Oryzias latipes: one gene and its partner. Each later gene encodes a partner of the first gene's protein in a complex. Links are inferred from orthologs where the notes say so. Each region holds a gene or a part of one and is shown in the gene's direction. Other genes may lie near its edges. The genes, in order: fgf23 and fgfr3.

Evidence for each region.
Region 2: the proteins of fgf23 (region 1) and fgfr3 are in contact, whole or in part, in a cryo-EM structure (PDB 7YSU), measured with the Homo sapiens proteins. The link is inferred for Oryzias latipes from reciprocal best matches to the Homo sapiens genes FGF23 and FGFR3. Residues at the interface, in NP_065689.1 of Homo sapiens: Ser29, Leu32, Gly33, Ser34, Trp36, Tyr43, Ala45, Ala47, Arg48, Asn49, Ser50, His52, Ile75, Arg76, Ser77, Glu78, Asp79, Ala80, Gly81, Val83, Val84, His117, Gln118, Thr119, Asn122, Gly123, Tyr124, Asp125, Leu158, Ser159; in NP_000133.1 of Homo sapiens: Glu157, Arg158, Asp160, Lys161, Leu163, Leu164, Ala165, Val166, Pro167, Arg223, Asp244, Leu246, Glu247, Arg248, Ser249, Pro250, Val277, Tyr278, Ser279, Asp280, Ala281, Gln282, Pro283, His284, Ala312, Gly313, Ala314, Thr316, Thr317, Asp318.

Annotation. Positions count from the first base shown.
Region 1 is NC_019881.2:17,684,628-17,688,894, forward strand, and holds the start of fgf23 (fibroblast growth factor 23), read left to right. Parts: upstream 1-1,448; 5' UTR 1,449-3,032; coding exon 3,033-3,470; intron 3,471-4,109; coding exon 4,110-4,267. UniProt on the Homo sapiens protein: Regulator of phosphate homeostasis. Inhibits renal tubular phosphate transport by reducing SLC34A1 levels. Up-regulates EGR1 expression in the presence of KL. Acts directly on the parathyroid to decrease PTH secretion. Regulator of vitamin-D metabolism.
Region 2 is NC_019880.2:21,749,882-21,753,226, reverse strand, and holds the end of fgfr3 (fibroblast growth factor receptor 3), read left to right. Parts: intron 1-422; coding exon 423-560; intron 561-662; coding exon 663-768; intron 769-1,498; coding exon 1,499-1,663; 3' UTR 1,664-2,615; downstream 2,616-3,345.

The DNA of each region.
Region 1 (4,267 bases):
GGTTATTGACTAGCTCCTCCGAAACCTGTTATGAGGAACAGAAATTTCAAAATCACAACAGCATCTTCCTCATACATGGATCTCTCTCTCTCTCTCTCTCTCTCTCTCTCTCTCTCTCTCTCTCTCTCTCTCTCTCTCTCTCTCTCTCTCTCTCTCTCTCTCTCTCTCTCTCTCTCTCTCTCTCTCTCTCTCTCTCTCTCTCTCTCTCTCTCTCTCTCTCTCTCTCTCTATAAATATATACTAGTACATATACTAAGGCTAAATGTGGAGAAAAAGGAAATTTAAAGTGTATGTTGAAGGTTTTCTGAACACAATGTGCATCTTTGGCGAGCTCAGCTGAGAAAAAAAGATGAAGCATCTTCAGCTTTTGATGGTTGACTCAAAAATACGGATGCCTAAAAGAGAAAAAGGTTGTGTCTAAACCCAAACCCCTTTCAGCTTTGACCAAAAACAAAATGCATCTGCTGAGTCATTAGTTTTTCCCCACATCATTTTAATCATTAAAAATGTCAAGGTGAGGAAATATTTCTTTCAATGTCAACCTATTTTCATGTCCAAATGGTATGAGGTATGAAAATAAGATAATGTTAGGCGTTGGGAACTCTGTTCGTCTCCTCTGTTCTCATATACCTCACCCTCTGCCTTAGTTTGGTTTGCTGATGACTGTAAATGAAGAAGAAGAAACTCGCTTAAGTTATTTGTTTCTGAAAAAAAGACAATGCTGAGTAAAATTTTCCTTTTATTTTTGTACGTATGTGCTGTGCACAGCAGTCTACTGTATTCCTAATTATAATAAAAGTTTTGTTGTTTTTTTTTTTATCCCGCTGCTGTTGTGTTTTTTTTTTAAATCAAACACTATCATAGCAGTTACTTCAAAAGACAAGATCATATTTTTAGGCATCATTATTTTTAATATAGTGTTATTACCACAGGAAATTTGCAACGCAAACAGACATAAAGGCAGTGAAACACATTAATAATGCCCCTTTATGATGTGTCATTAATTTCTCAAGGACTCTTGTGCTTTTATTTCGATAAAATTGTCTATTAACATAAAAACCCATTCCAATAATCTTTGATTTATCTTCAAATTGTTCCCAGTGGTTTTTAATTGTGCCTTTTTTAGCCAAAATCCCAAAAACCGGTTTGGTTTTCTTGGACATAGATTCTGCAGAGCGGCACGAATTAATTAAATATTCACCTCTGAGTTGTAGGCGCAGAGCGGCCGCGCCACCACTTCCCCACATTCATCTGTTTACTGCTTTCCTGCTAGCTTACAGCCCCTCATACCCCCATCCTAACAGTAGCTGTGCCACAAAACTGGTGAGCAATATTGGAGCTATCCAGCTGTCCAGTTCTTAACCAGATTCGAACTCAGATGGGGAAAACAAAGACGTACATGGATAGATTTGTCTAGAAGTGGAAGCATCAGAATGGTGCAGAGCAGGGAGCCTTTGGCCCGCCCAGCATATTTTTACAAATATGATCTTTTTCAAACAGCATTTTTTCATCTGCTCCTGATTCACAACGATTTGAATAAACACATACTAAGAAATGAAACTTTGAGCTTAACTTTCTTTATATACGTCCTCCACGTTATAAACACTGTTTTTATCTGAGTGGGTCTTTAATATAAATACTTGTATTTCCCTCATAAAGAATAATAGAGGTTAGTATCTCTTCACAATCAATTATCTCATTTGCTTAAACATGCCTCCTACTCCTCAGTTCCTCAGAGCACACCATTTAATCAGACTGTTTCTGTTGTGTTGTTTTTTTTTAAAATCAAACACTATCATAGCAGTTACTTCAAAAGACAAGATCATATTTTTAGGCATCATTATTTTTTAGCTCATTACACAATTTAAAGAGTAAACACTTTCCACTATAGCCGTGTATTTGTCACCTTTTAAAAATAATTTATCGATACATGCACAAACGAACACACAAAACTGTAATCTGCATGTAATATGTTAGAAGTTCCAAGAAACTGATAAAAAAAATGACTTTTCTTTAGCCTGTAATAGGAAAACTCAGGCATGATTTTTAGTATTTTTTAGCTTTGTGTCAATTTCTGGATTTCAAAAAAAGACAGTTTTAAAAAATGAACTTCAGATGGATGGATGGATGCTTGACTAATAATATATTTGAATACATAAAAAGCGCATTATTCAGTAACTAAAAACAGGAAATTAAAATTAGGTTTTTGCTCGATAAAAGTGCATTTGTTGTTCAAAAAAAAGCAGGATACTTAATTAATGAGGTTCGTTACTGTTTTTCACTTTGTGTTAAATTGCGGATTTCAAAAACGACAATTTAAAAAAAACTTGCAAAAAGATTTTCTTGCGATTTCCCCCTCTTGTTTTAAACACTTGCATACAGCACACAGCATTTTTTAAAATCCAGAATACTAAAGGAGGCAAACATCATATTTGGAGGCTAAAGGTAACGTTGCACTAAGTTGAAGAATGCTGTGTGAGGAAGTGTCTCCATCTGCTGGTGAAACGGTGGATCTCTTCGGTTTGCAGGTGCATAAATTTATCAAACTGAACCAAATTTATGAATGGAAAAGTTATTAAAAACCGAGATTTAACTACTAAATCCAAATATAAACATATGCAAATTAGTCAACCCTGCAGTTTGAATTATATTTAAATTATATTGACCCGATTGACATAAAAACACAGTTTGAGTTTAGTATAAGCTATTAAATATTCATATTTCTGTCATCTTTTTACTTTAGCCAAATATGTTTTTCCTTCCCAAACTAAAACCAGAACCAGAAAATGAACAGTTTAAGGTGGCTGACTCAAGAAGTGAGCCCAAAAATAGGAGTCGTGTTGTCTGACCAACAACATTGGGACACAAACAGAGGTGGAAGTGGCCCTTCCGCTGCAGCAACCCGCACATCGGCTTTGGGGGCGAGTTGCTTTTTTTTTTTTAACCCAAAGGATGTGAGCAGGAGTGGCACTCAGGGCCTTTAAATACGAACTGTCACCAAACTTCGGCACAACGGGCACCCAACAGCTCGCATGGGACAGGTGATGAGGGACACTACCATGCTGGCGCTCGTACTCGCCGTTCTACAGGGGTTTTCTGTCCGGCAAGTAACCCCAGATCCATCCCCGCTCGTTAGCTCCAACTGGGGAAACCCGAGGAGATTCATTCACCTGCAGACATCCACGGATGTCTGCAACTTCTACTTGGAGATCAGATCAGATGGAACCGTGCGCAAAGCTGCGAGCAGAACATCATACAGTGAGATGGGCTTTTATTCTAGTATCTTCTTAAATGCTGTGCACTGGTCTTCATTTGGATTTATCTGGAATAACTTGGCGCTAAATCTTTTTTATTCAATCTTTCCAGGTGTGATTTTACTTAAGTCTGAAACGAGGGATCGAGTCGCCATCCTTGGAGTCAAGAGTAACCGTTACCTGTGTATGGATCTGGAGGGTAATCCATTCAGCTCGGTGAGCATACAGTTCATCCTTTTCATTTTATTAGTCAATGCCGACTAAATCTTGATCTTTGATCGTCTTTTCTTTTATTATTATTTAACTCCATGAAGTTTTACGCACCCCCTCACACAATTCTTCTCAACAGGGCCTGTAGACTTAAAAGATTGATCCAAAATAGGTATTATTGATCATCCGAGCAGCTTCTTCAGAACATGTCTGAACTGTTAAACCGTGCGTGAAAACGCACTATTTTTACGCACAAACGCAGCATCGGGTCCTTTAAAAAATCCGGTTTAATTGTCTGACTACCTGCTTTCTGCCTTAAAGTAGTTAATATAACGATTTGGTCGGATCTCTGCCACATTTGCAGAGTTTATGAACTTAAAAATCACAAAAAGTCTGTTTGTTTAAAATACCCGACGCAAAAAAAAACATGAAAAATGTTTTGAATGCACCAAATAAGACGAATACAAACAATTTAAATAACTTTACATTTTTGTTTAAAGTTTTTTTTTTTTAACCAAAAACAGTTTTTCCATGCGTAAAATTCTTTTCATGAATGGAAAATGTACTATAGATAAACATGAATTTATTTTTTAATTCGAATGCACTGAATCCAATGAAATTCCTCTCCGTTCCCCCCTTTTTTAGCCTATTTGCCTCAGAGAGGAGTGCCTCTTCAATCACAAACTCCTGGAAAACAACCGAGACGTGTACTACTCCACTCGGACCAGCATCTTGTTCAACCTGGAGGGGTCCAAACAGGTGTACATCGCAGGTCAGAACGTGCCGCAGACCTCCCTGTTCCT
Region 2 (3,345 bases), on another chromosome or scaffold:
AAGATGAAAGATGTTTGTTTCTGTTACTCATCACAGGGACGGTGTGTAGAGGAAATGCATATGTGATTAATGTCACGCATTAACCTTATAAAAGTAAAAACAGTCTGTTAAATGGGGTTTTCTACTTGCCCCAAAACTCAGTTCCAGTTCATTTTCTTCTTATAATAAAGTCAGTCCATCATCTTTTTATCTGTCTGTTCTTGTTTGTGTCTGGAGGGAAGCGATGATGAGTTTACAAACCTTATTGACCTCCTGTCTCAGGCTAAAAGAGGTTGGAATTGATTTCTAAATTGAGTGCAGTTACCATTGTTGAGATCAATAGTCAATTCCAAACAGTTCAAAGCTTCTCTTAGAGCTCCAACAGAGCAAATGTGCTTCCTAACGCATCTGAACACTGCATTTGTTGGTTGTTTTTGGCTCAGATGGTCTTACGGGGTTTTGCTGTGGGAGATCTTCACCCTGGGAGGTTCTCCATACCCGGGAATCCCAGTGGAGGAGCTCTTCAAGCTGCTGAAGGAGGGACATCGGATGGACAAACCTGCCAACTGCACTCACGAGCTGTAGGTGTCTGACCTGGAGGGAGGAGAAGACGACTGGGATCAAGTCTGTGTTCAGAGGGTTTCTGGATCCAGATGTGTGAGAGCTTTCTGTCTGGGTTTCAGGTACATGATCATGAGGGAGTGCTGGCATGCGGTCCCCTCCCAAAGGCCCACGTTCAGACAGCTGGTTGAAGATCTAGACCGGATTTTATCGATGACCTCCACAGATGTAAGTCTACAAACACACAACTGCTGTCCACCTGTTAGACCTCACTATCACTGTCATGCTGAGCTTTGGCTGATAAACAAAGTCTTGCTTCACTAGTTGTGTTTTCGTTGACTATGAAATGATACAAATTAAATATGCGATAAATTCGCCTAATGAAAACACGACAATTTGAAAAAATCAGCATTAATCATAAAAAGGTTTTTGCTCTTGGAGGAGTTCTTGAGTCGTATCCACATTGACTTATTTCGCTAAACTGCAATGGAAACACGTTTTAAATAAATAAGTCACGTTACCAACAGCCGCATACCATTGGGCGCTGCACAGCGGGGGCCACCAGAGGTCCCACAGCGTCACATCAGAAGTTGAGCGTGTCATGTGGAAGCGTTGGATCCACAGCTCCTCTAAAAGCACCAACCACCATTTCCCAAAACGGCTTCATCTGTAGCCCCTCCCACGTGTAAGGAGGAAGACGCCAACGTCTCCTTTGATGGATGATGATGAGCTAGTGCCACGGCAGACATTTTAATGCATCTGCTATCAATCAAAGTATTAGTCACGTCCGTTGTTTGTGAATGACTTATGGCGTGAGTCGGTTTGTGTTTATTTGCATAATTAGGATCCAAATTGTGAAATTGTTATTTTTCCACATACATGGAGAACGGATTCACTTGAGCGGTTATAGCTCCTTTGGGAGGTTCATCAGACGTAACCTATGATCCTCCTCTGACAGGACTACCTGGACCTGTCGGTGCCCTTTGAGCAGTATTCTCCCACCTGTCAGGACTCCAACAGCACCTGCTCCTCTGGAGACGACTCCGTGTTTGCCCACGACCCGCTGCCCGACGAGCCCTGTCTTCCAAAGCAGCTGCCCAGCAACGGCGTGATCAGGACATAAAAGCGCCGCTGGGTGGGGGTTCCTGTCACAGTTCCCCTCCCAAAACCCCTGGAGGTCTAAACTCACCATGCAATACTTCCACAGCTCTTCTGCTCGTCTTAAACTTTTTAAACGAGGTTTTTTTTCTTCCAGAATTGAAGGAATTTTTTCTTTTCTTTTGCCAGTGAACCGTAGTCGTGCTCTTTTCGGAAAAGAAAGTATATTTTTTTACTCGGGCCAGTCTTTTGCTACCGCGTGTGGGGAAACCATTCCGTGCCTACTGGGAATAAACCTCCAGACGCTGAAGAAAAAAGGATGCGAGGAGGAAATGATGGGCATTTATGAGTGACAGCGAGCAAGAGCCTGGTTTTTGATTGGCTCTTGTCTGCACAGACCCCTCAGATAGAAACAAAAGGTCTGATCCAAAAGCAAAGGGATGCAGAAAATCAAAAAATCGGCAAAGAAATTTACTCCCGAAGAGAGCGTCTTCGTCCCATCTTCATCACATGCAGCTTTGTTTGCAAAGCAGTTCAGGGCTGATCACTAAACAAGGGTTCCAAGACTTTTCTATCGGCTATCCAGAAGAGGGTTTAGTGTAAATATATATTAGCAAATGGGTATCATATTGCTGTCTACAGCCATGTACTTTAAAGACAAAAAATGTAAGATAATATGTGAGAATGGAAGACACTGTCCTTGTAAAACATGTAATCATTTAAAAGGTTTATTTGAATAATTAACATGTATATTTGTAAAGATATTTATAGACTTAACATGCGGTTTGGAGTCTGAAAGGTCTAGTGTAGAATTTTAGTACTGTACACACAGATTTTTATTTCAACGTTTTGTAACTTATTTTACAGCGGAACCTATTGTCGCAGCTGGCGGTCTCTTCCAGGTTGTGATCCATCTTTTTTTTTTTTTTCTGTTTGTTTACAGTTTTATAAAAATGCATTATGTACGGGCGACAAGAGGCGGAGCTTAGAGGGCGAGTGTGATGCGAAAGGCCGGAGCGGGAAGTCTGAGCTGTCCGGGGAGCTGGAGGTTTCCTCTCAGCCCGATTAACTCTTGCTGGGCAAGAATGACAGCAGCTCTTTGTGCCACGTTCATCTTAGATTCACGGCCACATATTTACGTCACAGGAAGCCTTCAGAGAACCGCCAAAACATCCACATGCATGAACTCTGCAGCACCTTCGGCTAACATAGCTTGCACTCGACTCCTCCTGTACTACATCTGGCTGTGGGGGGGATCGTCTTAAGAGCAAGTGTTCATTTAAAACTCCCTTTCCCAGCATCCTTTGCTGAAACCATCAGATAATGTGCTTTTTATTCAAAAAAGGTCTGAGCATGATTGTATTACGACGGAGTTTTAGGGTCAATTTACAAACACTTTTTTTTTTTATTACGACTTTTAAGTTTTAAATTTACGACTTAAAATCTCCTAAATCTACAAGAAAAAGAATCAGAGAACGAGAAGAAAACGCCAAAGTTGTCTGTTTATCATAGCTTAGCTTGAAGATGAAAGATGTGGAGCGTTTTCTGCAGCTTTTTTTCCGGATAGGTTTAAAAAACAAAGAAATTCTGAACCTTTTGGCGACTCAGAGTCAGATTATGGTCAGCGTAGCCGTCTTTCCGGCGTTCGGTGTCGGTAAAGCGGAGTTTCATCTGTAAAATAAGGAGCTCAGAGACACGTTTGGGTGT